2 linked regions of the Saccharomyces cerevisiae S288C genome follow. The protein of the gene in region 2 interacts with the protein of the main gene of each other region in a pairwise test. Each region holds a gene or a part of one and is shown on either strand. Other genes may lie near its edges. The genes, in order: GPI18 and EMC5.

The links.
Region 1: the proteins of EMC5 (region 2) and GPI18 interact in a protein complementation assay, tested with the Saccharomyces cerevisiae proteins (2 studies listed by BioGRID).

Annotation. Positions count from the first base shown.
Region 1 is NC_001134.8:243,527-247,267, forward strand, and holds GPI18 (GPI-anchor transamidase GPI18), read right to left. Parts: upstream 2,142-3,741; coding exon 840-2,141; downstream 1-839. Other genes in the region: COQ1 (trans-hexaprenyltranstransferase), read left to right, coding at 1-704; RCR1 (Rcr1p), read left to right, coding at 2,380-3,021; UGA2 (succinate-semialdehyde dehydrogenase (NAD(P)(+))), read left to right, coding at 3,484-3,741. UniProt on the Saccharomyces cerevisiae protein: Mannosyltransferase involved in glycosylphosphatidylinositol-anchor biosynthesis. Responsible for the transfer of the second mannose to the glycosylphosphatidylinositol during GPI precursor assembly.
Region 2 is NC_001141.2:303,068-306,059, forward strand, and holds EMC5 (Emc5p), read right to left. Parts: upstream 1,038-2,992; coding exon 612-1,037; downstream 1-611. Other genes in the region: cohesin subunit IRR1, read right to left, coding at 1,410-2,992. UniProt on the Saccharomyces cerevisiae protein: Part of the endoplasmic reticulum membrane protein complex (EMC) that enables the energy-independent insertion into endoplasmic reticulum membranes of newly synthesized membrane proteins.

The sequences.
Region 1 (3,741 bases), on a different chromosome or scaffold from region 2:
TCGTAGAACTAATGTCTAATAGTATTGCGAATCTTGTCGAAGGTGAGTTCATGCAACTGAAAAATACTTCCATTGACGCGGATATCGATACCATCGAAAATGGCCATAAGCTACTTCCGGTTCCTTCTAAAAAGCTTGAAGTTAAAGAGCACGACTTTCGTGTTCCAAGCCGCCAACAGGGGCTGCAATTATCTCATGATCAGATTATAGAAACTGCATTTGAATACTACATACACAAGACCTATCTGAAGACTGCTGCTTTGATATCAAAATCTTGCAGATGTGCTGCTATATTATCTGGGGCATCACCTGCCGTTATCGACGAATGCTATGATTTCGGTAGAAATCTAGGTATATGTTTCCAACTCGTAGATGATATGCTTGATTTTACTGTGTCTGGAAAAGATTTAGGGAAGCCATCCGGCGCGGATCTAAAATTAGGTATTGCTACTGCTCCAGTCTTGTTTGCATGGAAAGAAGACCCATCTTTAGGTCCACTAATTTCACGCAATTTTTCAGAGAGGGGTGATGTTGAAAAAACTATTGATTCTGTGAGACTCCATAATGGTATAGCGAAGACGAAAATACTAGCGGAGGAATATAGGGACAAGGCATTACAAAATCTACGGGATTCTCTTCCTGAATCTGATGCTCGTTCTGCCCTAGAGTTTTTAACTAATAGTATACTAACAAGAAGAAAGTAAACCTTGAAATTTCAAATAAAGGGTGAAGAATAAAGAGAAAATGAAGAAGGTCATAGTGTCGCATTATTCTATATTCTATATGTAAATAGTTTTTATATGTTTTTAGTAAAAGAAGAAATATACAAGCATTAAGGATCAGGCTGGTGGTAAAAAAGCTGCAAATAGGATAGTCTGTAAAGGTATCCAGAATGCCAACCAGTATATGTAAAACTTGACTATCTTATCGTCACCTTTCGGATTTTCCATTTTTTTTGGATCAGAAGTTTTAACCAATCTATCAGCCAAATACCAAAGGTGCAAGGGTAAAAAGGAGGCTATACGATTCAGAATTTGGACATGGGCAAAAAAGCATACTATGACGACCAGTGCTCTGGTGATCCATACGAGAGCCTTCAAGTTATAGGAGGGATAAATTTTGCTGAAATATATGGAGGAATAGATTAAAATAATAATATTTGGGACAGCAAACAAAAAGTTTGGGATGTTGTTTGGGGTCCAGTATTTCAATAACCCAACTCCCCAATAATGACTCTGAATGTAGGAATATAAAGAAGTTTTCGTGATAAAAATGCTTGAAAACAATTGAGATTTACACCATTCACCCCTTTGAGGACAAAATGTCTTATATGGTAGGTAATATTGTTGATATAGTAGAGCAGAAAACATTAATGATCCTGATAATAGTGGGAAACATATTGCTTTTACAAACTTCCTGTTCTTTGTTAGTTCAATAAGGTCAAAAATAAAGTAAATCCCTAACAAAACACAGTTTGAACGATTCAAGGATGCTAAGGTAAAGCAAGCCATGCTGATAAAGGAGTAAGGAAACCAATATCTCCACGAAATATCGAATTGACCCAATACGGGCACGGAAATGGAGCATTCACGACTCCAAATACCAACAAATGCAAAAAAAAAAGATAATGGTTCAGAATATATGCTTGTTAAAAATCCAGCGGCACTCGTTAAGAAAAACAACAGAGATGTTTTTTTAGCGATAGTTCTAGCAAACTGTGATTGCCTTATATTTTGGCTGAAAATTTTTTTTGTTAGAAAATATAAAACAATACCTGACAAGTAAAATAAAACATTTTCTATTGCAACTCCAACCCTTAAGGCATGGTAGATGCTATCGTTATTACTTTTAATAAACAGCCTAACGAAAAAAGTCCACAACTGAGAAAACGCGTATTCATGCTCAAATTGAGGTTTTCCGTTTTTGGAAGTTATGTTCTTGATAAAAAAAACACTGTCCCATGATAGTAGCTTATTCCAAAAATACTTGTTCCAATAACTGTTGATTTCAGAGGGAGAAGAACATAATTCGTTTAATAAAAGTGATGTTGATGTATCAAACTGCCTAATTGGAGTCAAAAAAACCAGTAAATACTGTATTGAACGGAATAATACAAAATAAAGTGTCAACCCCACAATCATATTTTAATTTAGTCTTATTCCGCCTCCTCTCTCGAAGCCTCTCTTTTATGTCTTTTTTCGATGATGAGGCTTACTTTTTTTTTCAACTAAGCCTTGAAAAAAAAAGTTTGATTTAAAAGGGATTTTCTATTTTAAGTATTTAAATGACCGACAGGAAGCTCATGCAGAAAAGGCACCTGTAATAGCTTATTGATCATTCCAATAAATAGGAAAGTATAACTCGAATTAAGAATAAGGAATGGGACTTATTTCATACGAAAATGAGGCGATAAACGAGGTGAAAAAGGCAGATAACCATCACGTTAGCAAATTTGTGACTAGTTACTATGGGCCATCATCGTCGTCATGGCAGTCAGGAATATGGATTTTGTTTGTGCTGTTTGTTGCCGCAGTAATCCTTATAATACTGTTCACTTTTGTAGCGAACAGAAGGAGACGAAGGATGGGGCGTGCTCCCATTAGAGGTACGGCATGGTTGACACCGCCTTCATACAGACAGTCTCAGCAACAATATACTGGGACCGTTCAGCAACGGACAGATGATTATGTTCCTGAGTATACAGAAACAGCGAACGAACATGATCTTGGATACTATGACCAGCGGGGCGAGTTTCACCCCAACGATAAGGCTGCATACGTGGCCCCCCCGCCATTGGTACAAGAATGTTCATCAGAATCTGTTAATTCTTTAGAAAGACCTCCCGCTGCTGTAGTTCACCAAGCTAACTCTTTAGATACGGATTACGGTTTAACAAGGCCTAGCAATGGGCGCGTTCCAGCTGTAAGTGATACGGTGGAGCAATTGGAAAGGCTTCCGGGCGGGACTACAACGCAGGAAATTAACCCACCGGAGAGGGCAAAGGTAAATGCAAGGTCATGAACTGAATCTTTTTTTCCGGCTGTCCTCTTACAGTTGAGTTACAATATTTTGCCAGAAATATTTACATTTTTTTACCCAATCTCTATAATAATTATTTTAATTCCTAATCCGCTTCAGGCCCGCGGTCGTTGAAGTGCTATAGTTTATATTCAGTACATTGTCTTTAATCTCTCAGTATTATTTTATCAATAGTAAATACTTCAAGTCCATCGCACGGCGTGGTGGTGATAAAGGGAAAATGCGCGCGGGATTAGCAAAGGCGGCCAATGGATTAAGGGTGACAAGATAGCACCACATCACATCACATCACCATCAGTAATGGAGAGGAAATAGGGTATAAATACTCGTCAGAGATCAATAGATATTATTTCGCAACGTCCTTTATTGTTCTGTTCTTATTTGATCAATTAAGCTAGAAAACCAGCTACATTAAAAGCAAATTTTACAAACTACTATTTCAACATGACTTTGAGTAAGTATTCTAAACCAACTCTAAACGACCCTAATTTATTCAGAGAATCTGGTTATATTGACGGAAAATGGGTTAAGGGCACTGACGAAGTTTTTGAGGTGGTAGACCCTGCTTCCGGCGAAATCATAGCAAGAGTTCCCGAACAACCAGTCTCCGTGGTTGAGGAAGCGATTGATGTTGCCTATGAAACTTTCAAGACGTACAAGAATACAACACCAAGAGAGAGGGCAAAGTGGCTCAGAAACATG
Region 2 (2,992 bases):
ACCTTACAACTAGCATGGGCGTTCAAGTGGTGGAGAACTATTACCTGTTCCTGAAATAACAGAATGAATCATCAATAAGGGCTTGTCTGTACCTCAGGATGATTTGAACAAGTTCCACTTACGCTAACATGAGGATGAATATCGTACTTATACTATGTAAACTGGAATAGAAATATTCCGAACGGTTATCCATTAGAGTGTTAGCCCTCAAACCGAGACTCTCGATAATATTGAATAGAAGATTTTACCACTAAATTTAGTGTGTATTTATGTATCTTAATAACAAACTATCCAACGAAGACGCAAAAGATACTATCCGCCCCGTAATCCTTTTGAAACCACTCAAGCTTATGGTTCACGTTATAGAACACAGGAGACGCTTGCATTATTGGTGATTCTAATATAGCTTTCTATTCCTCTATGAAAGGCGTCTGTGTTGGTGTAAATAGAAGAGGTGCCTGGTCACCTGACGCCTTATTTTGTGCAGTTACGATGTTCGAGTAGATTCGCTATCGAATTTATGCTCAAAATCTAGCTAATCCTCTTATTAGATCTTGATATGTATATATGTATGAAATTATAAGTTCTAGCTCTAGTTTTCAGTATCTTATTTATTTTTCTTTTTTTACAGTGTTAGAGGCCCATTCCCTGCAAATTTTTCTCTTCATATGAACGTCAACAAAGCTTGGAGTAAATATGATCTCACCATTAGGGTTACTTCCTATCAAGTTATCCACGTTGGTGGCTTTATTTAATGCGATTTCTTTTAGATAGTTTCCTTGGGATATTATCTTCCCATCGTTACTCTCAATTGGTAAATATTGTAATTTCTCGAACGAAGTGAACACTGCAAGAACAAAGAGTATCAATCCTGCATACGTTTCATACATGATATCTTTAGGTAACTTGCTGATTGCACCTTGTGCATTATTAAGCGAGTTAAGTTTTAATAAGTGATGAAACTCATAGCTTGAGAAACCAGAATGAAATAACACCAATGCAGAGACTGTATAGAGAAGCTTGGAAACAAACGACATCTCTTGATAATTGCTTTTTTGTATCTCGGTAGGGCTTAATTACGATCGCTTTTTAGATGCTACAATTAACATGCATAACAACTATCTGAGTTGACTTTATTTTATATTCAAAAGTAGATTTTTCTGCGCTGCGTTTACATCGCGAGTTTTCGAAGAAGCAAAGGGCGCTTTGATGACGATTGAATGGGCTTGGAAAATACATAGCCGAATATCATCCAGCGAGTATAGTCTAATGCGAAGGGATATTTGAAGTATTTATGATTAATCAAAAACTGCTAACGAAGCTATGTATGTTCAAAAGAAAGATGTGATATATATTATAGATCTTATTGTTTTACAAAAGAGCAATAAGTCTGACGTATATCTTTTCCCTTAATCTTGTGTGATTTCGTCGCTGTTGTCTATAGCATCTACCACGGTTGGGTGTTCCTCAATTGGTGCTAACTCTGAATTATTTTGCGAACTTTCTTCAATAGGTTCTAGATCGATTGTCATGGGAATATCTGGATCATTATTTTCAGTATTTGCATGGTCGGTTTCTCGTTCACTGTTGGGTTGTAAAGGCGCTTTTTCCCTCTGTGTTTGATTTGATTTTGCTTTCTGTATGTTCTTTTTATTAGGTTCTGGATTTTCCATTATGGTATCATCTACGATTTTTTTGAACAGCGGGCCAAGCTTTTCTTTGTTTAGTGCCACACGGGAAGCAAATCGTTCATCTAAAATATTCAGTTTCATTAGTCCCTTCAATTTAACTGTGAATAAAAGGAATTCAGTTTCAATATTCTCGAAAAACCCGGTTTCCGGCAAATCATTTAGGTTGGCGTCTTCATCTGCTACCCTTTCTAATTGGACGTCAACTTGCTTAGCGAAAAGACTCTCCAAATATAAAAATATTTTCAAAAGCACTTTGGAAGCATTATCGTGAAGGTAAAATGGAAATTGTTCACTCATACTATATCTCCATGTTGTAGCGTCTGCAGGCAATTTGAGCTCAAATATTTTTATTGCAACGATTATATCCATTAATGAAGTGCAAGCTGACCATTTTAAGTAAAACAAGCTGTTTATGTTTTCAAATGTTTCGTTTGTAGCCGCCAATGAAATAACGAGTGTGTTTAGACGACCTATTATAGCGGCAATTGGTTTCCAAACTGATCTAAGATCTTTTGAAATAGAATTCTCGTAATCCCTTACTTTCTCTATTATTTCTCTCCATTTTTCCAGATTCCATGTGGCTAATAACACTAGCATTTTAAAGTTTATTTCTTGAGCGGTACTATCATCAAAATCTTGAAACATTATAGGGATACGGGAAACAAAATTGTTCAAAAACAGTTGCAACAACTCTTCATCAACCTCGATTGGGTAATCCCTGCCAAGAATTGTCAGTTTATTGATGTAGAGCTCGTACAAAGAACAAGTTAAATCTTTGTAGTCGTCCCTAGAATTATTTGGATCCATTTTTTCCTGTAGAAATTTTTTTAAATGAATTTTCAATGTAGCTATCTGGTTTAAAAATTTTTCCTGCAGTTCCTTTTTTTCAAAATGATGGATATGGTGAATGAATTTAGCAAATATATCGTACTTCATGTCAACTTTTGAATTCCCGATTGTAGAATCCATAAATGCTTTAATAGTTTTGTCGGTAATTTTTTTTAATTCAGTTTCATATCCAATAGATATCCAATCATCCAGAGAAAATGTGATAAAGCTCTCTAGGAGAGGACACAGAATATCAGCAGATTCGATGGATGCGGCATTCAACAAATCGTAGAATAAAGGCAAAACTATTTCCTTAACGCTGTCCTTAGTTTGGATTTTGGGGTTGTTGGCACCTGCACACAGACCGTGGAATACGTTCAGATATAAAATAGTGCTATTTCTGTCAATGGGAAACAATGGAGTGATGTCCAATTCCTCATCGTCAACATCCTCGTCATCGCTGTTATTATTGG